Mus musculus: one gene and its partner. The protein of the gene in region 2 purifies or fractionates together with the protein of the main gene of each other region. This does not show direct contact. Links are inferred from orthologs where the notes say so. Each region holds a gene or a part of one and is shown on either strand. Other genes may lie near its edges. The genes, in order: Neurl4 and Zcchc10.

Evidence for each region.
Region 1: the proteins of Zcchc10 (region 2) and Neurl4 purify together in Homo sapiens (co-immunoprecipitation; 3 studies listed by BioGRID and IntAct, with this or other methods). This does not show direct contact. The link is inferred for Mus musculus from reciprocal best matches to the Homo sapiens genes ZCCHC10 and NEURL4.

The regions. Positions count from the first base shown.
Region 1 is NC_000077.6:69,893,666-69,909,044, reverse strand, and holds the start of Neurl4 (neuralized-like protein 4), read right to left. Parts: upstream 7,230-15,379; 5' UTR 7,148-7,229; coding exon 6,860-7,147; intron 6,038-6,859; coding exon 5,593-6,037; intron 5,392-5,592; coding exon 5,326-5,391; intron 5,181-5,325; coding exon 4,882-5,180; intron 4,713-4,881; coding exon 4,601-4,712; intron 4,512-4,600; coding exon 4,423-4,511; intron 3,515-4,422; coding exon 3,442-3,514; intron 3,325-3,441; coding exon 3,060-3,324; intron 2,820-3,059; coding exon 2,638-2,819; intron 2,528-2,637; coding exon 2,442-2,527; intron 2,320-2,441; coding exon 2,157-2,319; intron 2,062-2,156; coding exon 1,863-2,061; intron 1,782-1,862; coding exon 1,705-1,781; intron 1,622-1,704; coding exon 1,543-1,621; intron 1,209-1,542; coding exon 1,033-1,208; intron 950-1,032; coding exon 818-949; intron 587-817; coding exon 441-586; intron 368-440; coding exon 143-367; intron 52-142; coding exon 1-51. Other genes in the region: 2810408A11Rik (protein phosphatase inhibitor 2-like), read left to right, coding at 8,294-8,742, 9,235-9,339, 9,457-9,528, 9,758-9,846, 9,953-10,198, 10,635-10,793, 10,895-10,942, 11,291-11,434 and 1 more; Acap1 (arf-GAP with coiled-coil, ANK repeat and PH domain-containing protein 1), read left to right, coding at 13,707-13,759, 14,388-14,445. UniProt on the Homo sapiens protein: Promotes CCP110 ubiquitination and proteasome-dependent degradation. By counteracting accumulation of CP110, maintains normal centriolar homeostasis and preventing formation of ectopic microtubular organizing centers.
Region 2 is NC_000077.6:53,316,318-53,331,898, forward strand, and holds the start of Zcchc10 (zinc finger CCHC domain-containing protein 10), read left to right. Parts: upstream 1-8,371; 5' UTR 8,372-8,383; coding exon 8,384-8,424; intron 8,425-10,951; coding exon 10,952-11,110; intron 11,111-14,369; coding exon 14,370-14,414; intron 14,415-15,581.

The DNA of each region.
Region 1 (15,379 bases), about 17 Mb from region 2:
GATGTGCATTGTGTCATCTGCACACCGACGAATGCCCACACGGCTTCCCACCTAGATCCAAGGTTCAACAAGGCCAGCTCAGTGATCTGTCTCTACTCTCACCCCTAGCCCCCACCGCCTGCTCCAGTGCCAGGTGCTTCACCCCTAGTCTCTCGAGGTTCCGGCCATAGTTCATCCTTTGGAGGTGCCCATCACGCCTCACTTCACAGCTGGACACCATCCAGGTGGTCTTTGTCCGGAGTTCAGGCAAGGAAGGAGGCAGCCCTGGACCACTGCCCGCTCCAGGCCCCATGTCCTCTGGTGCAAGTGTGGTCAGCCCCAGCCGGAGGGAGCCTGCCCACTTCTCGTCTAGCTCTTCCACTTTCACCTGTGAGAAAGCAAACATTGGGTGGTCCTGTCTGACGGGCTGGTAAAGCCCCTTCTACTTCTCTGCAGCCCACCTCAAAAACTTCTTCAGCCTTGAGCTCTTTGGTGCTGAAAACGAGGCCATGTGCGTAGCCAGCCACACGGACTGCCCGTGTGCCATCCTCCTCCAGAGTGACATTCTTGCCACACATGCTATGGAATCGGTGAGCCACACCCGCCACTGTGGAGAGATGTTTGGTAAAGGGGTAGGGTTAGGTGACTACCTTCAGACAGGCTGCTGGTGAAGCTAAGGCCCCATCTGCCATGACTCAAGACCTCTGGACACCTTGCACCACAGTAAGACTCAAGATGCCCAGTACATGGTATGTTAGACTCTGGGAGTCAAGGAGATTATGAGACTCTGTGTCTCAGATATAAGTACCCCCCTACTCACAAACTCCTTAAGCAATACCTGGGGAATGCAAGGGGAATGACTTCTCAGTGGCAGTATTGCTGGTGGCCAGGCTGTTGTCCATGGGGCCGGTAGCATTGGTGATAGACACTTGGACACACTGGCCATAGAGATCCACAACTGCATACACCTCTGTGTAGGAAAGAAGGCATCAGAAGCCTGAGGGCCTGATCCATCTGAGCAAAGGGGGGCAGGCTGGAAGCCAGAGTAGTCACCTTTACCCGGAGGCAAGCCTGAGCAGGCAGCGCCTTGGTCCTGTCCATTAATGAAATAGTGCAGATCACCCTTGGCAGTTCGCATCATGCCAATTCGTGCACCTGTGCCCAGCGCGTCCAGATCACACCCATAGTTGTTGCGCATCGTATTGCCATCTTGCATGATAGCTGTACCACTGAGAAGACAGGAGGAGGGATTTAGCTTCCCTGCCTCATCACTAATTGGCCCCTACTCGGTCTCTGCCTATCAAAACCATCCAGTGTTATGGACATCAGGCACAGAGACTTGACCTTAGTCTGAGGCCCAGTTCTGTCTTTGTCCCTAGAATTCCCACAGAGAAAAGCAGGAACTGCTCTGTGGGCTACTTGGGTGGGAATTCTCAGAACTGAGGAGAAAGGATATTAGGTTCCAGAGTCTTTCAGTCCTATAGCCACCACAGGCTTAGTTGTCTGATATTACCCAGCTCCAGCCATCCCTGCTAAGCTGGATTCAAGGTTAGACGGCCTAACCTCAGCATCCACGTATCATAGTCAATGTCTGTCATGGTGTTGGGAAATTCTAGGTCTTCCGGCCGAATAGCAGTAACTCCTAGGAGAAAACACAAGGTAAGAAGTGATCCCGAGGACCCAGGGATCCTGTACCCTACAGTCCCTGCACAGAGGGTCCCTCACCAGCTTCGATGGAGCCTGACCAACGATCTACCATCTTCTGAATGACAATTTCAAACAGTTCTCCATCCCGCAGGGCTCTGTCAGGGAGAGTGGGGATCACTAAGGCCCTACGTAAGTAGGCAGTGGGACAGTAGAGACACGAAAATCTAGAGACTGACCGGTTGGAAATGACAATGGCATCGTTGAACTCGCTGCGGCAGTTGTGGCGGAGAGCAGTGCGGCCACCATTGGTGATGACTGCATTACTGCCGTGCAGCTGGTGGAAGCGAAGGTCAGAGCCCCCAGCTGCTGAGGATGGAGAACTGGGAGACATCTGGTTGTTTCCTTCAGGGAGTGGCTCAGAGACTGGAGGCACCTCTGCAATAGTAGATATCACCCATTAAGTCTCTAGGTTTCTTTAAGGATTCCCAAGGCCACCCTAATCCTCTACCCCAGCCCTGTCGGGCCCTCACCCACGTCATCCACAATAGTAGCCTGGGCAGCCTGGCCGTAGAGATCAACAACAGCATAGACCCCCGGGGGGACATTCCAGGCAGCAGGGCCCTGAGTCATCCCATTGACGAAGAAGTGGAGCGTTCCATCCTCCCGCCGCACCACACCCACGGTGTCCCCTGCCTTGGAAAAAGTGAGGCTGGAGTGAGGAGTCAGGCAGAGTTCCTGCCTGAGATGGCCCTGCATCTACCAAGCCTCCCTGACTCCCCCAGAACTATATCCAATCAGTATGACTGCTCTCTCACCTTGAGGCGGTCCAGGTTGTGCCCATATTCATCTAGGATGGTTGTCCCATTGTGCATGACCCCATTCCCAGTCATCATCCAGGTCCCTGTAGGAACAGCAGTGGCAGCAGATAATGAGGAACAAGGAACAAACTGTAACCCTGGAGCTGCTGCTTCTCTGGCACCCTGCATCGACCCTGCCCTTCGTGGGGCTCACCAGAGCGTAAGTTGGTCATAGTAGAGGGTAGCTGGAGGTAGGCAGGGTTATGGGTGGTGACACCAATCTCAATGGAGCCAGCCCATTTGTCCACCATCTTGTCAATGCGCACCTGGAACACCTCTCCATCCCGGAGGGCTCTGCTGCTCAGTACCACGCCATGATTGAAGTCATCAGTGGCACTGGGGACACAGCAAGTGAGGACTCAGCTCTCAGCATACTGAGTGTGTCAAGGCTTAAACTAGGAATATTAGTCTGATACCCACTGCCCCAAGACAACCAACCAGATCTCTTGCTCCCAGAAGTCTTCCCCTTTCTGTCCAGGGCTTCCTATAACAGACACCCTCCCATGTTCCCACCTCAGTGCCCCCGCATCCTATTAGGGCCCCCTTGCAGGTGTCTTCCCATCCCATGGGTCATACTGGGGCCTCAGGGCAGTGCGTCCTTCGTGGGTGATAGCTGCCTTCTGGCCACAGTTAGGATGGAAGAGCAAGCGTTCAGGTTCTGCCTGGGCTGCAGGGGCAGCACGACGAAGAGCACCCTCGGGGGACAGAGCCCTCAGGATAGCGTTGTTCCGGCGGAGACGGTCACTGTGGTTGTTATTATGGACGATGGTCACTTTCACTGCCATTCCATACAAGTCTACTACACCATATACAACTGGTGGTGTCAATGGAGTAGCTACGCCTGTAGCAGAACAGGATGAAAGAAGAGTCAAACAGGAAGAGCAAGCACCACAAGGAAAGGTGAGGTATGACCCACTAAAGGCCCTGAGCCAGGAGTCTTTCTTGTGTGCCACCTTACCCTGATCGATGCCATTAATGAAGAAGTGTAGGGCAGAGTTGGACTTCCTCGTGAGGCCAATATGGTCACCCTCCTAACCAAAGAAGAAAGACCCTAGTCTGGAATTCAGCTACACTCAGGCTCAGGTTCCAGCAGTCCTGGGCACTTTCTGCCACCCCATTTCACAGGAGACCACCCACTGAAGAATTTCAAATAAAGCCACTCTTGGGCAGGAGCTGGGTCCCTGCTTTCCAGACACAATAATTCCACATTTCCTAAATGCCCAATGTAAAGTAGGTACTAAATTAAACTTTTCTTTTAAAAAGATTTAAATATTTCATTTATGTGAGTACATTGTAACTGTCTTCAGACACACCAGAAGAGGACATCGGATCCCATTGCAGGTGGTTGTGAGCCACCATGTGGTTGCTGGGAATTGAACTCAGGACCTTTAGAAGAGCAGTCAGTGCTCTTAACCTTTGAGCCATCTCTCTAGCCCTAAATTAAACTATTTTAAAAACAATCTTGGAGCTGGTGAGATGGCTCAGCGGTTAAGAGTGCCGACTGCTCTTCCAAAGGTCCTGAGTTCAAATCCCAGCAACCACATGGTGGCTCACAACCATCTGTAATGAAATCTGATGCCCTCTTCTGGAGCGTCTGAAGACAGTTACAGTGTACTTACATATAATAAATAAATAAATTAAAACAACAACAACAACAACAACAATCTTTTTTGTTGTTGTTGCTCTAAAATCTCGGCCTACTTAGTGCTATTGGGCTAGAGCTGTAACTCAGTGCTAGAGCACTTGCCACACGTGTCCAAGGTCCTAGGTTCCATTCCTAGCACCAAAGGGAAAAAAGGTGCTACTAATGAGCATACCTTAGCTCCTGCCAGACGGCCTTGCCTCCTCAGAAGAAGCCTCATGCAGAAAGGGACACTGCCTGGTGGCCCAGGTGGCCGGGCTCCCCTGGACTGCCCAGGCTGCTGTGCTCCACACTCACCTGCAGCTCGTCCAGACTGAACTCGCAGTACTCCCGCCGAGTGCCTTTGCCGTTGGTCAGGATCCCACAGCCACTCATCATGATGGTGCCTGGTAAAGATGGACACCTGGTTAGGGAAAGGCTGTCTGGATCTCACCAACTCCAAGCCTGTGTCCCTACCCCTACCCAGAGCTGGTACCTGACTGCAGGTTGGTCATGGTGGCTGGGTACTCCAGGCTATTGGGGTTGTGGGTGGTGACACCAATCTCGATGGAACCAGACCACTTGTCTACAAGCTTGTCGATCCGGATCTGGGGTTGAGTGAGAGTAGACAGGTCCAGGAAATATAACAACAGAAGACAGGCCCTCAAAGCCTTGGTTCTTCACCAGTTGTTGGCATATTGCCGCCAAAGATCAATCCCTACGTTTAGCTCCAAATCTTTGGCAGGAAGCACAGTCAGACTCCAGGATTTTACATACCTCAAACATTTCATTATCCCGAAGTGGGCGGTTGGTCATGACAACTCCATTGTTGAATTCATCCAGGGGCCTCCGGCGCTCTGCTGTCTTATTGTTGTTGCTGAGTTTGATGAGGGTCCCACACTTCTCATGGAAGAGCAGGGCATCGTTGGAAGTGAGGATGGGAGAAGTGGCTGGCCCACTGGATGCCAGTCCGTCCCCTGCTGGTGGGGAGCTCAGGCTCACATTAAGGAGGCCCCCATTGTAGGCAGACAGGATGGCGTTGCTCACCACCTCAGACAGCTCCATACTGGCAAAGTCTGTAGCAGCAAGAAGAAGGAAGTCAAGACAGAGCTCTCTTCCCCACAGCCAGCTTGGGACCCTCTTCTCCCTACCGTCTCTTAGATCCCACCCTGTCCGCCTCAGTACCCACTCCCCTTCCCTGGCCTTCCCCGAAGCCCTCACCATTATGCGAATCAAGGCTGTTAGGAAACGTCTCCGGCCGTGCCTGCGCTGGGGACACCATGAAGGCTAGGGACCAGGTAGGATGGGAGGGGAATAGGGTTCAGCTCATGCTTCAGGGCCCAGTCAGGAGACCATCTCTTCTAACCCCTCTATTCCCCTGTAATGGCTCTGGGCTCAATGGTCCCTTCCCTCCCCCAGCTGACTTGTGACTGCTTTCGCCCCATTTCTTCAGCCAAAACTCATGTTTCCCCGAAGCTGTGTTCTCACCTTCATCCACAGAGGTCCCCTGTTCCAACAGGGCTGAATCTTCTGGAGGGGCCAAGGGCTCAAGGGGAGGTGTGGGGACAGGAGTGGGAGGGCTGAAGCCTGGCTCGGAGGGCAGCACAGTGATCTGGGTGCACTTGCCATAAAGGTCCACAACAGCCCAGACACGAGCAGGCAGGCCTGTGGCTGCCACACCACAATCCCGCCCGTTTACCCAGAGCCGGAGCTCCCCAGTGGCTGTGCGTTCCACACCCACACGGTCCCCTTCGACAAGCTGGTCCAGGTCCTGGCCATATTCCTCCAACACAGAGCGCCCGTCCCGCAGCACTGAGCAGCCTGACACTACCCAGGAGCCTCCCTTCAGCCCGGTGGCACTGCTCGGGAAGTCCAACACACTGGGATCCAGTGCTGTCACTCCAATCTCAATGGAGCCACTCCAGGAGTTGACCTATGAGAGGGTGGTGGACAGAGTTTCTGTATGAAATCCCATCACCAGAGGCCACATTCCAGAGCACCGTGTGCCTCTCACCCTGTCCTCTGAGGCCACTGACATAGACACACAAATAATTTTTGGAACTAGCCTCCATAACTACCAGGACCCACTGGCTCTCAGCATCTGTGTCTGCTGACACGTGTTTTAGCACATCACCCCCTCTACCCACTGAACAAGCTGGTTAAAGGCCCTGGTTTTAACCCGATCTCCTCTTACTTCCCAGTCTCTGTAGCTCCTCAGCCACTCCAATCCCATGCTTCTTAGGTCCACAATGCTCGCTCTCCTACATCACTCTCATTCCCAACCCCAATACTCTAGTAGGGCAAAGCTCCACCCAAATTCATTCTCTTCTCTTTCCAAATTCGTTTTGGAGTCAAGCAAGTCACATACACTCCCTTTTTCGCATGTCTCCTCATCTATCTTTCTGGTTTGGGACGTTTGTCAACAGTTTGCGCTTTTTATTATTTCTCTACTCTTCCATCTCGGGCACCTGTCAGTCTTCCATCCCTAAGAGATTGTGCTAGACGTGTTCACTAGCCATTCTAACCACCGGACCCTGGCTCCCTGTCCTGCGGGAAACGAATGCTCCTTCAGAATGAATGTGTCTGCTCCGTGTCCTTCTCCTTTCTCTTCCCCGGTGCACTACAGTGTGCCGGCTCGCTATCGGTACCTGGAGGCTCGGTTGGAGATGCAGACCTTCTGGCAGTCCTACCGCTTCTCCCTCCCGTCCCCTCCCACTCCCCTCCACACCTCGTTTCAGCTGCCCCGGCTTTGCACCTTGCGGTCGATGCGGACGGTGAAGACGCGTCCATCGCGCAAGGGTTCTCGGCTCAGCACCAGCCCGTGGTTAAACTCTTGGCCCGGCTGCTGCCGCCGCGCCGTGCGCCCGCAGGCCGACAGGCTGACCAAGCGCCCGGTGCGCGGGTGCAGCTCCCCGCCACCGCCGAGACCCCCGCCGGACCCCAGGCCTGGTCCGCTGCTGCCAGGGCCCCCACCCCCGCCGGGCCCCGGTCCTGGCCCGGGGCCCGCCCCAGAGCCCCCACTCCCACCCGACCCCGCCGCCATCGCCGCTGATACCGCGGCCGCGCGACAGCCGCGCTTGGCGGCACCGTGGCAACCGCGGCGGCCAGACGCCCTGGGGGAATACGGCCGGGGGGCTGGGGCCTGGTGTGCTTTACGGCACTGAAGCGTCCGCAGCTAAGGAACCGAGGTCTCTCACGAGGGGAACGGAAGGACGACGGGGTCGGGGGACTGCTTTACGGCCCAGCGGGACGACAGAGGCTACGAGAGCCGGGAAGATTTGGGCTGCTTTTGCGACAGTGGATGGCAGAATCGCCCGCCGCAGGCGTCTTTGCGACGAAGGCGTGCTGGCGCCCAGATACACTTTGCGACGTCGCCCGGCGCCTTGGACCCAACCCTTGTTAGGGAAAAGCGACATATTAGAGCATTCGCCTTAACGCAAGGGCTGGTGGCTTCCCCTAACACCGCACGCTTTAAGGCGATGGAAGTAAACGCTATCTTCGGGACAGAGAAAAAGTAGTTTTATAAATCCAAGTCTCAGCCCTTCACAGTGCCGAGGCCGGAAATGTCGCAATCCGATCACGCATCACACCTCTCCTTGACCCAGTCTCGCACCTCACCCCGCTCCGGCCCCACAGACTTTGCATCACACCTCTCCTACCCGCACACATTTCAAGGCCAACTTGAGCTCTGTGCCAATGAAACTCTTAAATCTTAAAAGTTACTAATAAAAATCCTAGCGGTGTCCCGTTGGGTAATCTCAAGGGACAGAGCGGACACCTCTGAGAGGTTACCTGAGAGCTATTAACAGAACCCAGCCCTACTCAGGCTCTCCCTGGTGTTGCGGGGCTGTGACATCACAAGGCTCCTCACCGCTGGCCAGGCCCCTTGACTGTGATTGGTTGATTCGGAGAAGGGCGGTGATGGAGAAGGGCGGGAACAAATTACAGAGACAAAGAAAGTCTTGGGGTGTAACAATAAGGGAAGGGTGTGCGGAGGAACTCCCAGGCTGAAGTCTGATAGTCGACCTTTCACCTGCCTCAGCGCCAGGGAGAAGAGGCAGAGGAGGTCCGGTCTGACCCGGAGCCCCCAGCGCCCACCGCCCGCCGCGATGGGGGCAGGGCCAACGGGCAGGGCTATGTGCAGCTAGAAGGGTAGGCAGTGGAATTGAAGTGGTTACCAAGTTGAGCTATGGAGAAGCCGGAGTCTCTCGCACCTGTTAGTGGCCTCAGTGCAGAATCCCCTGGGGGGGTTTCTAGGGCAGTACCTGGCAGTGCCAGAGGTATGCAAACAGACACCGGATTACCCCCCGGAGTAGCCTTGCTTCGCGGTCCTGGCTCCCTCTTGCATTCCGGGAACCCTGTAGTCCGCAGTCCTGGTCCAATTCAGCCCTCTGAAGGGGCAGTGACCCTCAATTCAGGACCCGCTCCGCAACTTCAGGAGGTTGCAAGCCTTGGGTCCAGCACATCCCCTGGCACTGGAACTGGTGCAACTAAGGCGTCCACCCCCGGGCCGGAGGAGGCTAAAGTGTACAGCTCGGAGAGTAGTACACACTCCGGGACATCTTTCACGGAGCGGCCTCGGAGCATCCTAAAAAACAGCAGCTCCATTTTGATAAAGAAACCCCCCGGTTCGGAGAAGTAAGCAACTCAGCTGGTTTTTTTTTTTTTTTTGTTTTTTTGTTTTTTTTTTTTTTAATGGTTTTAGAGCTTTATTGTAGAAAGGCAGGGGGAAAGAGCGAGGGAAGGAGGGCTAGAGAGTAAGAAAGGTGAGAGCTTAAATAGCAGCAACTCAGCTTTTAGCCAGCAGCCCTGAGACGGGAGGGAGGGAGGAGTTCAGGACACCTTGAGCTGAAGCCAAGAAAAAAACAGAGTCCCAAGGCCCTGGTTAGGGAGAGGTGGTGAGGTCAAATAGGTTGGAAATCTGAAGTTCCATGACTTGGAGAGGGCAGCAGGTGTCACAGGAATCCTGGCCACACAGCACTGATTATCACTGGGTATCTGGCTCCCATCCTAGCCTCTACGAGGGAATATAAGAAGAATTTTTTGAATGCCGGGAAGAATGAAGGAGACCTCTCTGTTAGGAGAGGGTCGCCAGAAGAGCTTCCTCCTTTGCTCCTTCCCTCACCTTAGGAAGTCTCAGCGCTGGGATGAAATGAACATCTTGGCTACCTACCACCCTGCTGACAAAGACTATGGCTTTATGAAGGCGGATGAGCCCAGAACCCCCTACCACAGGTGCTAAGCCCTAGCTTTTGAGCCTAAACTGTATTCTAACATGTGGCTATGAGGAAGAGGCAGAGAAGCCTCGGGGCACAAACACTGCCTCCTCCTCCTCCTCCTCCTCCTCTGCAGGCTGCAGGACACCGATGAGGACCCATCTGCAGAATCTTCTCTCAAGGTGACTCCTCAGTCAGTGGCAGAGAGGTGAGAGCCCTCTCAGAGATTAGTTGAGCTGTGCCCTCTGCCCTCATACCTTTGAAGGCAGTCTCAGATAGCTTTGTTCCTCAAACCCTAAAATGGTAGGTACTACCTACCTCCTCAGGCCTAACCAAAGCTGATCTAGGCAATCAGCAGCTTGGTCCCCACCCAACACCTACCCCCACCATCATTTTTTTTCCCTTCTGTACCCCCAACTAGTCTCCCTCCCCTTCAGGTTTGCCACAATGGACAATTTCCTCCCCAAGGTCCTCCAGTACGGAGACAACAAAAACTCAAAGGACACAGACAACTTTGCCAAGACATGTATGTGAGACGTGGGGTGGGTCTCGATGGACAGGGGAGCTTGGGTGGGGGGCAGCCCTTCTGTGAAGACCTTGGGGGAAAGCTAAGCTTTCACGCTGGCCCACAGACTCCAGTGATTTTGACAAGCACCGAAAGATACACTACAGTGAAGGGAAGTTCCTAAAGTCCCCAAAAAACCTGCCCACTGAGGAAGAGAGCATTGGGGCTAGTGCCAGCATCAGCAGCAGTAATCAAGCTGTGGCGACAGACCTGAAGCCTAGGCCTGTGGAGAAAGGCTGGGCAGGAAGACTGGCCACAGGAGTCAAAAATGACACTGTCCTGATGACTGATAGCCATGTCTTAAGCACCAACGGTTAGTGACAGGGGCCTCCTGGGGCTGCAGAGTGGAGACAAGAGACTCTTCCAGAGCCCAGATCTCCTTGAAATTTACATGTTTTCAAATCTGTTCTCTTTGGCTCTCTGCTCCTCACATCTCTGCTGTATTCTGATTTATTCAGAGAGCATTGGCCTACAGTCTTGCTCGTCTGACAGAGAGGCAGTGACTGGAGGGGACGCTAGGGAAGGAATGGGAACAACTGGAGCTGAGTCTCCACTGGGGGGGGGGGGGCCTCCAGAGACAAACTGAACAGAGAGATTAAGAGAACCCTTGGGGGATGGGGGTTCACTGAAGGCTTTTTAACATGGGGGAGGGGTGTTAGATGAGAACTTAAACTCTAATCCGGTAGTGGCCTGACTCAAAGGCAGAGCAGGTGGCCACAGGCTCAAGATTGTCTGGGGTACTTTTTCAGATTCTGCTACCTATAGAAACCAGTTCCCATCAGCCTCAGACTCTTCCATGGGGCAGCTGGCTAATCTACAGCGCAAGGAATACTACAGCAAAGGAAGGTATCTGAGGTCCGGCTCCCGCCCAGAGCTCGGAGAGGATATAGAAGATGAAGAACAGGATAGTGAGAGACTGGGGAGGATGGCCTGGGGAGGATGGCCCGGGGAGGACAGCCTGGGGGGTGGGGTGGGAGGACGGAACAAACTGTCCTCCTGTTACTTCCAGGTCCTTCAGGTTTGACCTGGGTTACTGAGAATCCGAAAGGCACTCCAGGTACTGTTGGAAGCGTCTTTGGGTATGACAAAACCATTTAGCGCTTTCTGAGCATAACCCTAACTCTAGTGCAACCTGGCAAGGGCACCATCTCTCTAGGCCTGGCTCTTAACAAGCTCCCATCTCCCACCCTCCCAATCCCTTTTAAGTCAGTGCATCAGCCACAGGCAGTAAAAGAGGTCTTAAACATCCTGGCGTTGATTGACTACATTATAGAGACCAGGTCCGAGTGATGCTCAGAGGGGTTGAGATCCCCTCCAGCCTAGCATCAGCCAAGGGCTCCATGCCTCCTCCTTGACTCCCCTCTGCCACCCCACCCCTCTCTAGTTAGTACTATGTCCTTCACAGTCAATGGGTCACAGGTGACGCCCAACTGTTGGGCTAAGGGGCCAAGGTGCCGAAGTCCAGGGAGCTCAGAAAAGGAACATGGAAGTAACCAGAACCCTCCAAGCTGGAATGGGCGCAGACGTGAGCCTGGGCCAAGGCAAGGGGGTAACTTGCACTGCCCAGGGAGGCAGAGGGGTTAAGTGGGTAGGTTCTAGAGATTTGTGGGTCACATGGACAAGAGCGTACCCCTGCTGCAAGAAAGCCTAACCTTTTCTTTCTCTAGATGAAAGCTTGCGGCTCCAGTGGACTCAGAAAAAAGAACGTAGACCTTGGAAAATGTAGTCAACGAGGAGTGGGGTGAGGGTTGCCTTCCCTGTCTCCACTCTAATGGACAATAAAGAGAACATCAGGAATCTGAGTGCTGGGAGCTGCGTGTCCAGACTGGGCCTGCTCTGGGAGCCCAGGAGAGCGGGAGGGATGTCCAGACACAATAACCCGGGAAGGCAAAGCAAGAGGAGGAACAGAGCAACCCAAGGAACTGTGCTCCTGGGAGCAAGCACTTAGGGGCTAAAGTAGCAAGGTCACAAAATCAAGCACAGTCTGTTCTACGAAGTGAGAGCCTGCTTCAGAACACAAAACAAAACCAGGGCTTTAAAAACTCACTATTGCCCGACGTGGTGGCACACGCCTTTAATCCCAGCACTTGGGAGGCAGAGGCAGGCAGATTTCTGAGTTCGAGGCCAGCCTGGTCTACAGAGTGAGTTCCAGGACAGCCAGGGCTACACAGAGAAACCCTGTCTCAGAAACAAAAAAAAAAAAAAAAAAAAAAAAGAAAGAAAAAGCCAACAACAACAACAAATAAAAACTCACTGTTGGTTTATTTGGTTAACATGGTACACCTGTGGAGGTCCGAGGTTAGAGGAACTTTCCATAATAAGTTCTGCTAGGGTTTCTGGGGTCAAACTTGGGTTGTCAGACTGGATGTGTGAAAAACACTTTTACACAGTGGGCCACTTTGCTGGTCCCAAAACCTAGGGTCTTGAAAAGGCCCAACCTTGCAGCAGAATGTCCATGTCTGATAGAATCAGCATACTGTACATTTATTAACACCATCTTTGAGGCAGGGTGTACTGGCTGGTTTTGTGTGTCAACTTGACACAAGCTGGAGTTATCACACAGAAAGGAGCCTCCCTTGAGGAAATGCCTCCATGAGATCTGGAGAATCCATGTAAGGTATTTTCTCAATTAGTGATCAAGGGGGTAATGGCCCATTGTGGGTAGTGTCATCCTGGGCTGGTAGTCCTGGGTTCCATAAGAAACCAAGCTGAGGGGTTGGGGAGATGGCTCAGTGGTTAAGAGCACTGTCTGTTCTTCCAGAGGTCCTGAGTTCAATTCCCAGCAACCACATGGTGGCTCACAGCCATCTGTAATGGCATCTGACACCTTCTTCTGTTGTGTCTGAAGGCAGCTACAGTGTACTTATATATAATAAATAAATTTTAAAAAGAAAGAAAGAAGGAAACCAAGCTGAGCAAGCCAGGGGAAGCAAGCCAGTAAGTAACATCCCTCCATGGCCTCTGCATCAGCTCCTGCTTCCTGACCTGCTTGAGTTTTAGTCCTGACTTCCTTTGGTGATGAATAGCAGTGTGGAAGTGTAAGCTGAACAAACCCTTTCCTCCCCAATTTGCTTTTGTGCAAGAATTGAAACCCTGACAAAGACACAGGATTTCTCTGTGTAGACCTGGCTGTCCTGGAGCTCACTCTGGACCAGCTGGCCTCAGACTCAGAGATCCACCCACTGAGTGCTTGGATGAAAGGCGTGCGCTGCCCCTCGCTTTTTTGTCTCCCAGATGAGGGAACTGAAGGGTCAGAGAACTTGTTCAGTGTCACACTGGTTTTTGTGTAGACAGGGTCTCGCTGTGTAGCCCTGGCAGGCCTGTGACTTGCTCTGTAGATCACACTGGCCTTGATCTCACAGAGATCTGCCTGTCTCTGCTGTAATTAAAGGCATGTAGCACTATGCCCAACTAATCACACAAAGTCTTAAGTGACAGAGACAGATTTGACTCTAGACCATCATTTCCCCCTCAAAAAATTTATTCACCAATGGAGAAAGCAGCAGAGAAAGACCAGTGTCCCAGATGGAAGGTGACAGCAGGCAGTCTCTGGGGGAGGGACTGTGGTTTCTGTGATCTCAGCACCCCCCTCCGCCCAGGCCCCACCCCTACCCCTCCCAGAGCTGCCTAGAAGTGGTGGGGTTAGAGCTCCTCCTGGGTTACCCCGTTCCCTTTGGGGAAAGAATTCCAGACCCAGGCTCTTCCTACCAGAGGATTCTTCTCCATTAATACCCCTCTTGGGGGGTGGGGAGTGCATCTGCCTACATCCCCACCTACCTGACCTCCAGGGCCCCCCAGGCCCCCAAAGCAAGTCATCTGAGATGACGGTCAAGCTAGATTTTGAAGAATGTCTCAAGGACTCACCCCGCTTCCGGTAAGTGTGTGCAGGTCCATGAGACTAAGGAGGGGAAGGAAGGCCCAATAGGTCCCAACACCCACCCACCCACCCCCAGCATTCCCCAGGCAGGACCAACCTTAGAGCCTAGGCCACAGGGACCAGAGGGAACTGGTGGGACCTAGTGCCTCTACCACTCAAGCCAGGCTCTCAAATCAGGCATGGAACCCCAGCACTTGGGAGGCTGAGGCAGGAAGGTTGTTAAGTGTTCCAGGCTAACCTGGGCTACAGAGTAAAAAAAAAAAAAAAAAAAAAAAAAAAAAACCCTTTAATAACAGAACCTCCATGCTCTCCGAAGCTCACTTTACTCTGCCTTTCTGCCCCTTCTGGTCTTTATAATTGGCATTCCTCCTTCCTTCTCACGGCATCCCCTCCCCCAGCACCTGCCCCGGGGCGGTTAGCAACTTCCTGCCCTGGCCACATCCACCCTCCTACTCTTCCTGCTCTGGTCTGGGTTATTGAAGCTTAGAATGTGCACAGCAGCACAAGAGCAGAAACTGTCTGGACTCTGCTTGGTCTGTGCATACCCATCACCCCATGACGCCAACCCTGCCCCTGATGCTAAGCAGAGGCCCAGTGGACCTAAGTGCTGTCCATTCTTTCCCAGAGCCTCGATTGAACTGGTGGAAACTGAAGTGTCAGAATTGGAGACCCGCCTGGAAAAGGTGACCACGTCATGGAGAAAAGATGCAGAGTCAGATTAAAATAAAAGATTAGAATAAAATTAAAATAAAAGGTCAGGGAGATGGCGGGAGACTGGGAATGCGTTAGAGTCATTGAAAGTTAACTGTGCCTGGCACACACACACACACACAATTATATTTAAAATCTGGATGTTGCTGGGCGTGGTGGCGCACGCCTTTAATCCCAGCACTTGGGAGGCAGAGGCAGGCAGATTTTTGAGTTGGAGGCCAGCCTGGTCTACAAAGTGAGTTCCAGGATAGCCAGGGCTACACAGAGAAACCCTGTCTTGACCCCCCCACCCCAAAATCTGGATGTACTGGCTCATGCCTTTAATCCTAACACTGGTGAAGCTGAAACAGGCAGATCTCTGTGAGTTCTAGGCCAGCTAGGGCTAAAAAAAAAGCTGGGAATGGGGCTGCGTACCCAGATCCCAGCACTTGGGAGGCAGAGGCAGATGAATCTCTTGTGAGTTCTAAGATAGCTTGGTCTGTTTACATAGTAAGTTCTAGGACAGAAGAGAAACCCTGCCTGAAATACATACATATATGTGTGTGTGTGTGTGTGTGTGTGTGTGTGTGTGTGTATGTAAATTATTAACATATTAATATATACTTTTTGAGACAGGGTCACATGTAGTTCAGGCTAGCTTTGAATTTACCTGTAGTTGAGCCTGGTCTTGAATTCCCAATCCTCTGACCTCTATTTCCCCCCTGGAGATGGAATTCATCTTTGTGCATGTTAGACAGGCCGGGTTCCCCCACCAGCTACATCCCCAGAGCAAACACTTCTTAAAACATTATTGATATTATTTCAGTATATATATTTGGCTGTTTTATCTGGGTAAATGTCTGTGAACCATGTCCACACCTAGTGGCTGCTACAGAGGCTAGCAGAGGGCATTGGATCCTCTGGAAT
Region 2 (15,581 bases):
TTTTGCTCCTGACACGTTTCTATACTTTTCCACATTTCAGGGACCTGTTATTTATGGAACCTCATACAGGACAAATGACAGTTTACCAAACCTAAACTCTGTTTCCAAAAGAAGAAAAATCTCAGTACGCAGGAGGCAGACACAGGCAGATATTTGTGAGTTCAAGGCTACTCTAGTCTACACAGAGGGTTCCAGGATAGCTAGGGCTACTTCTCAAATTTTTTTCATTTAAAAAAAAAAAACAAGACAAAACAACAACAACACCACCACCTGAAATAGCTCATTTGGTTAATTGCAAGCCCAGCAGGAAAGAAACCCTAGGTTCAGTCCTTAGCATCAAAGGAATTTAAAATCATTGTTGAGAAAAGTAATCCCAGCACAGATGCGGAGGCAGGAGAGTCAGAATTTCAAGGTTACTGTGTGCAGAGAACTGGAAACCGGCCTGGACTACGTGTACCCTTGTCTCAGAAACAAAAGAAGGAAGGGAGAATTAATTCATTGTAAGGAAGTTGTGATAATTAACAATCAAAGGACAGGACAGCCAAATTTAGGAAGATCTATTTCTTTGTTTCTTCAGCGTATAAGTTTGTTCCCTTGCATAGCTATTTATTATCTATCTTTGTCTGTGGGGGTCTTGTTTTGTTTTGTTGTTTGTTTGTTTGGTGGTTTTTTTTTTGTTTTTGTGTTTGTTTTTTTGAGGCTGGGGCTCAATTAGTTCAAGGTGGCCTCAAGCTCATTATGTTGTCAAGGATGACCGTGGATTCCTAATCTTTACAGACCTGTGCCACCATCCTGCAGACAAGCCTATGTTGAACCCTCAATCAGGAGGCGTTCTGCTCGCTCACTCTGTGCAATGCCTCACAGCGGAGGACTGCAGTGTAATTTAAGGACTCTGAGGAGCATGCGCAGCTGCATCTGAAGATGAGAGGCTTGCTCACAGCCCTTTTGTGTATTTTGTTTCTAAGGCTCTCCTAGAAAGTAGAAAGCTCGCCCTGGTGGTGCATGCCTTTAATCCAGCACTCAGGAAGCAGAGTCACACAGCTTTCTGTGAATTCCAGGCCAGGGGGAGATACAGAGTGAGACACTGTCTCAAATAAAATAAGGAAGGAAGGAAAGTGGTTAAAGCAAGATGTCACAGTACTCCAGGGATTTCTGGTCCCACTCTGACCTCTTAAGCCCAGAGAGCCTCATCTATACCCTAAGGCCCAGGATATCTATCCGTATTCCTTTTGCCTGCTACTGCTTTAAAATTAATTAAAGTCCTAGTTAGGGTTCCTACCGCTGTAAGAAAACACCATGACCAAAAGTAAGTTGGGGAGAAAAGAGTTTATTCAGCTTACACTTCCACATTGCTACTCATCACCAAAGAAAGTCAGGATGGAGACTCAACAGGACAAAAACTTGGAGGCAGGAGCTAATAGAGAGGCCATGGAGGGCTGCTGCTTATTGAGTCAATCAGCCTGCTTTCTTATAGAACCCAGGATGACCAGCTTAGGGATGGCACCACCCGCAATGGGCTGGGCCCTCTCTCAAGCAGAACTTGAAGCCAGCTGGAACTAATTGAGACCCAGCCTCAAGAAAATGCCCTATAAATGCTGGATCTCATGAGAACATTTTCTCAGCTGAGGTTTTGTCCTCTATGACTGCTTGTGTCAAGTTGACACAAAACCGACCAGTACAATTAATTAATTAAACATTTATTTATTTGCATAAACAAAATTTATTTATATTATTTTACTTTATTTTTTAATGTACTTATGTTTTATTTACATATGAGTACAAGTGTCAACGTGTGCTTGTGGAGATCAGAGACCAATTTGTAGGAGTCAAATCGCTCCTTCCACCATATGGTTCAGGGGTCAAACTCAGGTCAGGCTTGTTGGCAGCAAGTGTCTTTAGCCTTTAAGAATTCTCCCTAGCCTGTGGCCACTGCTCTTTACAAAACAAATGTTCAGCCTGCTCTAGTCTCCACTATTTAACCAGGTTACTCAGCTGCTTGTCTGCTGCTATAAAAAGGCCCAAGTGGCCGGGTGTGGTGGCGCACGCCTTTAATCCCAGCACTGGGGAGGCAGAGGCAGGCGGATTTCTGAGTTCGAGGCCAGCCTGGTCTACAAAGTGAGGTCCAGGCAGCCAGGGCTACACAGAGAAACCCTGTCTCCAAAAACAAAAAAACAAAAAAACAAAAAAACAAAAAAAAACAAAAGGCCCAAGTGATGTCACAGCAAATGTTTAATTTGGTCTCAATTTTTTTTTTAAGATTTATTTATTATTATACATAAGTACACTGTAGCTGTCTTCTGACACACCAGAAGAGGGTGTCAGATCTCATTACAGATGGTTTGAGCCACTGTGTGGTTGCTGGGATTTGAACTCATGACCTTCAGAAGAGCAGTCAGTGCTCTTGCCTGCTGAGCCATCTCACCAGCTCACTTAATTTGGTCTTAAGACCTAGTTTTTTGTTCTGTTTTGTTTTTTGTTTTTTTGTTTTTCGGGTTTTTTTTTTTTTTTTTTTTTTTTTTTTTTTTTTTTTTTTTGAGACAGGGTTTCTTTGTGTAGCCCTGGCTGCCTGGAACTCACTTTGTAGACCATGCTGGCCTCGAACGCAGAAATCCACCTGCCTCTGCCTCCCAAGTGCTGGGATTAAAGGCATGCGCCACCACCGCCCAGCAAGACCCAGTTTTACTAGTTACATCACTGAGGTTTCTTGAAGTTACTGTTAACCAGTTGTATAAAAGAATAAAAGGGTCAAAACCCCATTTAAAAACCATCCTACCAACCTCGAGGGAAAAGATTAATTGTGAATTCTAGAAGTTAGTTCTTTCCTTTTACCACACAGGACCTGGAAATTGAACTCGGGCCTTTAGTGAGGGTGGCAGCAAGAATCTTTGTCTGCTGAGCCTTATCACCTTCTTCTGATCCTGATGGTTTACACTGTGCTCAGGATCTCACAGGGTCATCCAGAAACTTCTTAGTATTAGGAATGGCTATATCACCTGTAGGGACTGCAAAAGTAAAATGCAATGCCCCTTTGCTGGTGGTACACACCTTTAATCCCAGAACTTGGAAGACAAAAACAGGCAGTTCACTGTAAACTCCAGGCCAGCCTAGTCTACAGACTGAGTTTCAGGATACTCAGTGCTACACACTGTGTCAAAACAAAACAAAAAAGGAAGAATGTTGAGCTGCATGGTGCATGCTTTAATCCCATCAGTCGGGAGGCAGAGGCAGCCAGACCTGAGTGCTTTTGAAACCAGCCTGGTCTACACAGTGAGCTCCAGGATAGCCAGGGCTATGTCGCAAAAACAAAACAGCTAAAAACAAAACAAAACAAAGAGAATGACTAGAGGAAGGTAGCAGAACATGAAATAAGGTATGGGGTGTTCTTACTTATGGGGCTCTCTGGGACTGCACTATTCACCTCTCAAGAAGGTCTTCTCCTAAAACCAGGCACAGTGGCTCATAACTCTAATCCCTTGGGAGGGAGGCAGAAGGACCAGAAATCAAGGCCATCCTCACCTACATGGCAAGGGCCAGACCAACATGGACTTCATGCGACCCTATGTGTCGCTACCATCTCCAACCAGCAGAAAAGAAGCGACAAAACCGATGTCCTTCTCAAGGCAGTTGATTCAGGAACTTAACAATGTGCAGGAAAAAGAATTGCTGACCTCTCTCCGCCATCCCCCTTTATCCCCTCCAGTCCACTCCCCCTCAGCCCAGTCCACATAGGCACAGTTCGTTGGCTCAGGACTACATTGTCACATCATCTGATCTTACATCGTGGTGCATCTGCGCAATGCAGCTCAAGCTACGTGGCTATCTTGAGGGATATGATGAAGTCAGGTGCCAGTCATAAGACTTGGCAGCAGTCCCGGGCGCCATCTTGGGGCCACGGCCACACCCGCTCCTCACACCTATGTAAAAATCAAATATAACAAAATAAGAACCTAAAACAAAACAACAACAAAAAACCCAAAATTGGTCTTTTTTCCTGTTCAGCTTTCATCCTAACCACAGGAATATATAATAGGTCAGAAATGCAACTACCTGTGCCCCAGGCCTTTCCATTCTTCTCTGTTTTTATTAAGGCATCTTATAAAACCAGAATACACTTTAGGAGGCCACCCCAGAAAGAGTCTGCTTTGCCATGGCACATGCCTTTAATCCCAGCACTCGGAAGGCAGAGGCAGGCGGATTTCTGAGCCTGGTCTACAGAGTAAGTTCCAGGACTGCCAAGGTTATACAGAAAAACCTTGTCTCAAAAAAAAAAAAAAAAAAAAAAAAAAAAAGAAAGAAAGAAAGAAAGAAAAAAAGAAAGAAAGAAATTCTGTTTTATATCTACTTAAGTATTCACTCATGCTACATAGAAAATGTAGCTTATTCATGGTTTAAAATTTTTTTTTCAGCAGCATTTACAAAATCATTGTGTCCAAAATTTAGCCTTGTTCTTCTGGACCAAACCTCTGGAAAACAGATACATTAGGTTAGTCTTTCCCTGAGAATACACATAATTATTGTGTTTGGATACATGTGTGGTTAACCTCTAGGCTAAACTGTCTAGGAGGACTTTTAGTTAATGTTCATAGTCTTTTCAAACGATACAACCCAAATATTACAGCAAAAATATCGGCCTCCTCTTTCCTATTTATTTTTACCTCATTCTGTCTCTTGCACTCTCGTACTTGCTCTAATAGAAATCCTTTTAAAACTGGCTAACAAGGAAGGGCGATGATCCAGTGGGCAAAGCTGCCCACAGCCAAGTTGAACAACAGAGTTTAGGACTCATGGGGTGGAAGGAGAGAAATGGCTACAATAAACTGTACTCTGATATCCACACAAGTGTCAAGGCACACTTGTGTTCACACACATACACAATAAATAAATAAATAAAACCTTTTTAGAAATTAATAAGAGCAGGGTCCATACCTATTCCAGCACACAAGGGGCAGAGGCAGGCAGACCTGTGTGATTTTGAGGCCAAACTGACCTACACAGTGAGTTCCAGTATAGCCAAGGGTACATAATTAGACTCTGTCTATTAAAAAAAAAGTTTTAATATTATTGTTAATATTAGTTGGTGTTTGTATTGCTATGAAGAGACACTATGACCACAGCAACTCTTATAAAGGAAAACATGTTGTTGGGGCTGGCTTACAGTTTGTTTAATCCCTTATCGTCGTCACTGTGGGAAGCATGGTGGCATGCACGCAATGGTGTTGAGGAAGGAGCTGAAACTTTTTTTTTTTATTAGGTATTTATTTCATTTACATTTCCAATGCTATCCCAAAAGTCCCCCACACCCTCCCACACCCATTCCCCCACCCACTCACTCCCACTTCTTGGCCCTGGCGTTCCCCCGTACTGAGGCATATAAAGTTTGCACAACCAATGGACCTCTCTTTCCACTGATGGCTGACTAGGCCATCTTCTGATACATATGCAGCTAGAGACACGAGCTCTGGGGGGGTCCTGGTTAGTTCATATTGTTGTTCTACCTATAGGGTTGCAGATCCCCCCAGCTAGGAGGTGAAACTTAATCCACAAGCAGCAGCAGCTGACTGCCACACTAGGCTTACCTTAAACAAAGAGACCTCAAAGCCTGCCTCCACAGTGATACATTTCCTCCAACAAGGCCAACCTGCTCCAGCAAGGGCACACCTCCTAATAGTTCTACTCCCTATGGGCCAGCATTCATACACATGGGTCTTTGGGGGCCATTACTTTTCAAACCATCACAATTATTTAGTAGGAACCTTGAAAGTTTTATGCTGTAGTGTGTGTGTGTGTGTGTGTGTGTGTTGCTAGGGAGATGAAGCCAGGGCTTTTCACATGGTAGTGCAATACTCCTGGGAGCCTTAGCTTACTGGGGACCCCCTGAGTGAACCATGTGGAGCCAGGATCGATACAAAAAGCAAGAGGAATTTATTGTTTCAGTGAACTAGGGTCGTCCCAGACCCAAAGGAGAGGTTGCGACCACCAGTACCCTTTCAGGTGAGTTTTTATATGTTTTCCAGGGGCAGAATAGAGCATCAGCAACTAGGCACAATGTGATTGGTGGAACAGTGCACCCTTTAAACTGATTGGTCTTTAGGGAATGAGGTGACAAGGACTTCGCTTGTCTGAAGGTGAGCAATGGTCAGTCCTGCAGAATATGTCCCCACTGGCAGGTTTGTTCCTGCCCTGTGGTCTGAGAAATGTTAATTAACCTCTCCCTTCCGGAGGGCCAGAGTTTCATGACCTTCCCAAAGTTCCTGAGCTGAGCTTTTCATTAATGGCTATTCATGGTTGTCAACTTGACTATATCTGGAATGAACTACAATCCAGAACTGGAAAGCTCACCTATGATCCTAATCTGGAGGCTGGGAGATACATGTTTCTGACTTGGCATGGAGATCTTGAGGCATAGTGGCTATGAATCCCAGAAGATTAAGTCAGGGAGATCTCTGAGTTCAAGGTCATCTGGGACAAAGCAAGTCCCAGATCCAGGCATGATGGCACACACCTTTAATTTGGGCTACACCTTCTGCTGGAGACTATATAAGAACACTGGAAGAAGGAAGATTCTATCTTCTTCACCTTCTTGCCTCGTGGGGCTGAACTACTGCTAGATCCTTGGACCAATGTTGGGGAGTTGAAGTACAGACTGTAAGTCATCAAATTCTCTTACCCATGAGTTCTGTGACTCTAGAGAACCTAATACACACATACTGGGTAAAAACTCTACCACAGAGCTACATCTCAAGGCCCCAAACTTTCACTCAGGAAATTCATCTGAAGGGGGGAAGGTTGGAAGACGGGCAGATAAGAGGGGATGGGGAGATGAGCAGGCCTGGGATGCATGACGTGAAATCCACAAAGAATCAATTAGAAGTTTTAAAAAGATTTTATCTGGGAAAACAAATGCCTGAACGCAATAAGTCAGGTATGGGCTGGAGGAGGACTAATGAAGAGTGATTTGGTTTTGTAGATATAAAAAAAAATTTTTTCAAGACAGGGTTTCTCTGTGTCGCCTTGGCTGTCCTGGAACTCACTCTGGAGACCAGGCTGGCCTCATATTTGCTATATAGCCCAGGTTGGCCTTAACCTCCTTGTCCTCCTTTCTCTACATCCTGAATCCTGATTTTAGAAACTTGTGTCATAACTTGGGAATTAGACTAGCCTGAGCTAAGTTTCTGGCCAGCCTGAAAAATTAAAGATGTTATCTTTAACAATTAAAAAAAAAAAAAAAAAAAAAGAGGGGCCTGGAGAGATGGCTCAGAGGTTAAGAGCACTGACTACTCTTCCAGAGGTCCTGAGTTCAATCCCAAGCAAACACATGGTGTTTCTGTCTGGTCCTGTCTCCCTCTCCACTCCCCTTACCCCTCCTCCTCTCTTAAGACTCAACCAAACTGAGTAGAATTCAGAGATCTGCATGCCTGTGTCTCCTGAGTGCTGGGATTAAAGGAATGTGCCACCACACCTGGAACTAAATTTCTTTACCTGAAACTTTCTCTGTACCATGCTGGCCTGGAACTCATGTCTGTACTCCCATCACTTATGATTGATTCCTTTCCAGAGCAGCCATGTTGCTGGATTAAAATTCCTCTACACAGCCGGGCAGTGGTGGCGCATGCCTTTAATCCCAGCACTTGGGAGGCAGAGGCAGGCAGATTTACAAGTTCGAGGCCAGCCTGGTCTACAGAGTGAGTTCCGGGACAGCCAGGGCAACACAGAGAAACCCTGTCTCAAAAAAAGACCAAAAAATCCTCTACGCAGATCTTTGAAAGAAAAATCAAAAACAAAAAAAAAAAAACCAAAACAAAACAAAAAACCAACCAAACAACAACAAAATCAGAATGATCCAGTCATCATGACGACACCTGTAATTTCTTGGGGTTTTTGGTGTTTTGTTTTTTGAGACAGTTTGTGTGTGCAGCCTTGGTTTTCCTGAAACTCCCTGTGTAGATGAGGCTGGCCGTGAATCCCATCAAGTGTTGGAATTAAAGATGTGGGCCATTACTTCCTGGCCTTTTTGGTTTTGTTTGGTTTGGTTTTGAGCTAGGGCCATAAGTTTTCCCAGGTTGGCCTCAAAAACATAGCAATCCTCTTGCCTCAGCCTCCAAAATCCTGGATTACAGGATTTTTTTTTTTTAGGATTTTTTGAATACTACAAAATTCCACTGCATATGTATTACAGACCCCTGGTTTGAGATCACCCTTCAAGACCCTATTCATACTGAACACACAAGCCCACATTAGAAAAGACAAACCAGCTAGTGGCCACCATTAGCCTCTTCTGAATTGAGCCCGTCTGGCCCCGCCCAGGACCGCAGAGGTTTCTAAGGACCCGCCCACCGGTGCTAGTTTCCCAAAAACCCGTGCGGCAGACTCCAGCCGCTCCAAGATGGCGACTCCCATGCATCGGCTCATAGCTCGAAGGAAAGCGTAAGTGAGATGCTTGTGGGGTGTGCAGGAGGGCTGGGGGCGTGCAGACGCCTGTCCGCTAGCTAGTGAGCGGGCGCAGGCTGCTGAACTGAGCGGGATTTGAAGAGAGTTCGAAATGAATCCAAGAATTGGTCGTTGGGTGGTCTGTGTTCCTCTGTCCGGTCCACATGTCAAGGGTAGCCTGGATGCTTGATCCCACATCTTCCCTCTCAAGATCCCAAACTTTTCCCTCTTCAGCGTACCTGCCTCCTTCCTATCGCCCTTTCTAGAAACAAGCCTGTCTGCAATGCCTATTAATTCCCCATCGACCGTTTCACTTTCTGCAGCTCTCACTGTAAATAATTATTTTAGTACAATCACTCACAGACAGTTTCTCTGAAGAAAAATGTATTCAAGCTACGCAGCTTAACAGTTTTATTGTGGAACCTGTTGATACTCTAAACAAGTACAGCTAGTGGTTTAAATAGCTTTGTAGGAGCCGGATGGTGATGGTACATCCAAGCATTCAGGAGGCAGAGGTAAGCAGATTTCAGAATTCGGGGCCAGCCTGGTCTACAGAGTGAGTTCCAGGACAGCCAAGGCTACACAGAGAAACCCTGTCTCTCTAAAAACAAAACAAAGTTAAGCTTTAAAGGGGATAAGAGGCTGTGGTGAGGAAAGGCAAAAGGCCCAGTTCAAGTCAGTTCTAGAAATTCATCTGTGAGGGGTGACATTTGAAAACAGACTAAAAGCCATAGAAAGGACTGAGTCAGCAGAGGATTTGGGGAAAGATAGGAAATGGTATATTTGCTATGAGTCTGTTAGAATTTGGGGGTGGGTTGGGCAGATTTAGAGACAGGATTTGTCTGTGTAGCCCTGGCTGTCCTGGAACTCACTCTGTAGACCAGGCTGACCTCGAACTCAAGATATCTGACTGCCTTCAGTATGCTGGGATTAAAAGCTTGTGCCACCATGCCCAGTTTGAATCTCAGTAACTATCAGTCCTGGTGGCAGATGCCTTTAATCCAAGCACTGGAGAAGCAAAATCAGGTGGAGTAGCACTGAGTCAAAGCCAGCCTGATCTAAAGAGCAAACTGCAGGCCAGCCTCAGCTGTGTAGGGAGACCCTGTCTCCGAAAAGAAAAAAAACCAACCAACTCAATAACTACCCATTCAGTGGTGTAAGCGATGTAAGGGGCGGAGACCAGTTACTTGAACATGAATTTGAGTCCAGCCTGGGCAACATAATAAGACTTCATCTTAAAACCCTCCAGTAATGTCATACCCACTCTGCATGGCTGTGTGACATGCATGTCATGTTGTATTTCTCAGACCTATCAAAAGTCATAATACGAACCTGAAAGGAAACAGTTTATACATCTAATACCTGCATTGCTTCGCACTTTGCTTTTGACCTAAGCTGTGGTTTATGAGTTTAAAACCCGAGTGTTGGGCCTGACGTTGGTGGATTGTGCTTTTGATCTAAGCACTCAGGAGGCAGAAGCAAGTGGGTCTGTGAGTTCAAGGCTAGGCCAAGCTGGGTATGGTGGCTCACACTTTTAATCCTAGTATTGTGTGGCAAGTGTCTTTAACCCACTGAGCTGTCTCACCACCACCATTTTTTATTAGTAAGTTAAAAAGAATGATAGCCAGGCACAGTGGCACATGCCAGCACTTGGGAGGCAGAGGTAGATCTATGAGTTTGAGGCCAGTATGGTCTATAGATGGAGTTCCAGGGAAAAAAATCAAAAGCAGAATCAACCAACCAAATGAACAAGCTTTTTCATTTATGTGTGAATAGGAGTAGAGGTCAGAGGACAAGTCGTTGGGGGTCAGATCTTTGGGCTTACAGCAAACACCTTATCCACCCACCCTTTTCCCAGCCTTAAAAGTGTTTTAATGGGTTAGGGGGTCTGGCTCAGTAGTAGAGCATTTGTGAAGGAGGCTCTGAGTTTGATATCTAGCATTACAACAAATAAGGACCTTCATTATCCTTTGTCTTCTGAGCTAAAAATGTTGGTCCGAATACATGATTATTGGAATGGAAAAACTTAAAAAAATTTTTTTTAAAGATTTATTTCTTTATTATATGTAAGTACATTGTAGCTGTCTTCAGACACTCCAGAAGAGGGAGTCAGATCTCGTTACGGATGGTTGTGAGCCACCATGTGGTTGCTGGGATTTGAACTCTGGACCTTCGGAAGAGCAGTCAGGTGCTCTAACCCACTGAGCCATCTCACCAGCCCAAAATTTTTGTTTTTATTATTTTGCTTTGTTGAGACAGGGTCTCTTGCTCTGTAGCTCAGGCTAACTTTAAACTCAGAGCCATCCTCCCACATTGGCCTGCAAAGTGAAAGACTATAAGCATGAAATACCGGACTGGGCTTAGAAGAGCAAGACTCAGTTCCTGTTGCGCCCCAGGTTGCACGCTTTGAACACCGTTTGTGTGCTTGCTAGAGTCAACATCACGTGATACTTTAATGCTCTTCCAGGTCAGAAAGTGTCCCAAGACAAAACTTAAGGCTTGTATTCTGTTATTTTCTTTGTAGTGAAGCCAATAAGCAACATGTAAGATGTCAGAAATGCTTGGAATTTGGACATTGGACTTATGAATGCAAAGGGAAAAGAAAGTACCTACACAGACCTTCGAGAACGGCAGAGCTGAAGAAAGCTTTAAAAGAAAAAGAAAATAGATTATTGCTGCAAAGGTAGGTTTACATGTAATATCCAGGGGAACTTATAAAAATATTTACAGAATCAGCTGACCTCAAGTTTGCTGTCTTCCTGTCTCAGTCTCCTGAGTGCTGGGATTACAGGTGTGTACCGCCGCATCCAGCTTACAATGCTATCGGCTGGTTTTTAATGAGTGGCCACTCTGTGTCCAGGCCCTATGTGTCCTCTTTATAAGTCTTAGCATATTTAAACCTCAAACCTCTACTAATAAGGTAGCTATTATTAACCTCTTTGTATGCTCACATATATGTACCTATATGTATGTGAGCATGTACACACACACAAATTTTAAAAAATAATAGATCACTGAATTAATGCATGCTTTTTCCAAAAAGGAATCTGTAAGAACTTGTTTCTTGGTTTTCTTTTTTTGACTTCCTCCCCTACACCTTATAAATTCAAAATCTGGAGAGGCCCTTAGTCCCACCCAAAGGTCCTGTTGAGAACGGTGAGAGATGATGTCCCGTAGGCACTGGTCCCACTCTCACAAGACAGGGAAATCCTCACATGGCCAGTGAGCCGGGCTAGCATTTATGGAGTAGGAGTGTCAGGTATCAGGGTCATCCTTGGCTATATAGTAAGTCAAAACAAGCCCAGACTATAGAAGACTCTGTCTCCAAAGTTGACAAATAGGGCCAGGTATGGTGGTCCGATCTTTAATAGCACTTGGAAGGCAGAGGCAGGTGGGTCTCTTAATTTGAGGTCAGCCAGTGTTCTATAGTGACATCCTATCTTCAAAAACACCCCTTTCTCAAATTGACAAAAAAGACATTATAAAATTAAAAAATCTTTTGGATAGTAAAATCACTAAATGAGTGAGAAACAAAACAAACCAGCCTACCAATTGGGCTAGGATCTCTGCCTGCTAAGAACTGATATTTACAGTGTGCAAAGAACTAAAATCACTATACATGGAAATATTTTAAAACTTGGACTAAGAAATTTAATAGTTACAAAAACTACAAATGGCTGCGGAATATTTTTTTAAAGGTGTCCAACATCCTTAGCCACAGGGGAAAAGCAAGTTAGAACTAGGTTTATCTTCCGTCTCACCCAGTACAGAGTGGCCACCCGTCAGGAAGACAAAAGGGCAAGGACTGTGGTAAAGAGCAGCTTTACTCATTATTGATGGGAGTGTAAATTGGCACTGTGGCTGCTGTGGACATCAGTGTGGGCTGTAGAAGTAAAAAACAAAACAGAGCAAACCCTAAGTAGTCTCCATGTGACCCAGTTAGAGTATTCTGGGCATGTACCCAAATGGCCCTAATCCTACCACAGAGAAGCTTTAACTGCCATCTTTATTGCTGCTCCATAGCAAGCAAATAGAATCACCAGTGGGGAAAGGGGGGGGGGGCTTTAAGAGAGAGAGAAACAGGGCAGGTATGGAGCTCATGAGACTTGAAAGTCGAAAGGGCCATACGGGGATGGGAGTGTAAAAGGAAGATAAGAAGCAGAGCAGCAGGTAGAAAGACAGAGAACAAGCATTCTCACCTTAGGCTAAGAATGCAGCTAAGTGGTCAGGGCCCTGTTTAGCCTGCATGAGCCCTCCAGTACCACACATGTTCTCCCCCGTCCTCCTCTGTATGTGTGTGTGTGTGTGTGTGTGTGAGTGTGTGTGAGTACATTGTGTGGCTTTGATAAATTCTGTATCAAAACTTCATCTCTTTGAACAAATCATGTTTCTCAAGAATGAATGTAAAAATTAAAATTAGAAACTGAGTTAATACTAAACTTTGCCAGATTCTAACGATAAATATCTACTCAGCCAGTATGGTAGCTCACACCTTTAATCTCAGCATGCAGGAGGCAGAAGCAGGTAGGTTTCTATGATTTCAAGGTCTAACTGGTCTACATAACTAAACGTTACCCGGAGCTGTGTGGTCAGACCCTGTCTGGAATTAACTCATTATTCAGTTCTGCCAGGGCTGGAGTCTGGACACTGAGGATGGTCTAATGTTTGACCCTACCACTGAAAGCTTTTCCGTAATGTGGTCTCACAAAACAAGGCAGTGCCTGCCCCCAGCTAACAGAATCACCTTCTGTTATACCTCAGAAAGTGGAAATGGACACAGCTCCGCAAGCTTTGAAGGAGAATTCTCTGAGGAGATTGGTTAGAGTGAAGCCCGTGCTGGCTCTGTCTGTGGCAGGATCGAGCCTACTCTCCTCATCAGGGAGCAGAGACTCATTTGGGAAACCTTTGAGGTACAAGCACAGGGTAGAAGTCGGGCTGAGATGTAGCTCAGTTTGCAGAGTGCTTGCCTAGCATGCACAAGGTTCTGAGATCCATCCGTGACGCTGTGTAAGGGAAGCGGAGGGGTCAAGCGTTCAGCAGCATCTTCAGGCCTAGCCTAGGCTACGTGAGACCTTGTCTCAAAGAAGACAAAGAAGAACTTTCACTACTTAGAGTTGATCTGAAAAAGAAAAAAGTGAAATTGTATGAGGTATAGAGTGCTTGCCCTGCATGTACCAGCCCTGGACTTGAACCTGCACCGAGTATTGTAGTGATAGGAGCATTCTGTAGCCTGAAAGCTGGGCTGTGTGCGCTGATGGCGGAAACGCTGCTCACGCTCCCCTGCTCTCTGTGGGCTCAGGGAACAGCAGTCTTGCAGTGTTGAGTTTCCATGTCTTTGTTTTAAAACAATAACTAAAATTTTGGAAGCTGTGCAGAAATTAAATTGTTCTTTGTAAAAGTGTGAAATGGGCCGGGCAGTGGTGGCGCACGCCTTTAATCCCAGCACTTGGGAGGCAGAGGCAGGCGGATTTCTGAGTTCGAGGCCAGCCTGGTCTACAAAGTGAGTTCCAGGACAGCCAGGGCTATACAGAGAAACCCTGTCTCAAAAAAACAAAAAAAAAAAAAAAAAAAAACAAAAAAGTGTGAAATGGCCATGTGTAATTCTAGGAAGCCAGATTACAGCTGTTGTGCTGTTGTTGGCCTTGCTTGTTCAATGCGTAACTAAAGTTCTAAACAAAAAAAGAAACAAGTCTGTGCGTTCCATCACCTTAACTACTAACAGACTTTGATGTACAAGAGATAACGTGTGTTTTATCACAGAGTCGGCCACATGCACTGTGTACATCCTGTCCCGGGAGGAAAATGTTTGACTTGATTAGAGCAGGAAACCCTGTGCCCTTGAGCAAATGTGATGAAGAACAGAGCAGGTCTGAGGCTGGCAGAGGTGTCGCAGAGTGTGGTCACTTTATTAATCGGAGCTTTTGTTTCCCTTTGTCCCTTAGCATAGGAGAGACCAACATAGAGAAAAAGATCAAGAAGAAGAAGAGGTAGGTGACTCAATGACACTACCTGGGGGAGAAAGGCCGGTCTGAAGTCTTTGTTTGCAATTTTTTTTTTTTTTTAAGATTTATTTGTAGAAGCCAGCCTGGTCTACAGAGTGAGTTCCAGGACAGCCAGGGCTACACAATGAAACCCTGTCTCAAAAAAAAAAAATTATTTGTTTTATATAAGTGAGGACATTGTCACTGTCTTCAGACACACCAGAAGAGGGCAGCGGATCCCATTTCAGTTGGTTGTGAGCCACCATGTGGTTGCTGGGAATTGAACCTCTGGAAGAGCAGTCAGTGCTCTTAACCACTGAGCCATCTCTCCAATCCCTGTTTGCAAATTTTGATTTTCATTGTGTTTTCAAATATTTTCCTCTTATGTGGAATTTATTGGCTCCGTTTTTCCTTTTCTATAACATTCTAAAATCCTTGTCCCTACAAGACTTTGCTAAAGAGGACTGGAAAAATGGCCCAGTTAGTAAAGTGCTTGCCATGCACCTAAGCAAATAGCTGGGAGCAGCAGCGGCAGGGGTTTGTGCAGCCACAGTGCTGGGGAGGTAAAGATGGGTGGACCCAGTGACTCACTGAGCACCCAGCCCAGCTGAGTCAGTGTGCTCCACGTTCCAAAGTGTAGAGCGACTGAGGAGAACACCTGATGACTGCTGCTCTTCGTACACAAACATACATGTATGCATATTGACATGTACTTGTGTGTGCACACATACCACATAAAGACTTAAATGAAAATTAAATGGTTTTTTAGTCAAGGCACGGTTGCCCTGGCTGGCCTGGAACTGGCTGTGTAGACCGGCCGGGCTTCAGTCTCAGAGATCTGCCTGGCTTATTTGGGTTCTTTCATTGTTTGGTTTTGCTTTTGTTTTGTTTTTACATGTATTTTATGTGTATGTGTGTATAGGGATGCCTCTAGATGACAGAAGTGGACATTGGATCCCTTGGAGCTGAAATTACTGGTATTTTTGAGCTGCCAGATATGGGTGCTGGGATCCGAATTCCTTGACAGGCCTCTGACAGACAGAACAGTAAGGCCCCTAAATGCTGAGCCTTCCCTTTCTTTAGCTCTTGTTTTATTTTCTGGAGACTAGATCTCACTTTGTAGCCCAGGCAGGTCTCAAACTCACGGTGATCCTCATACTTCAGCTTCTTAAG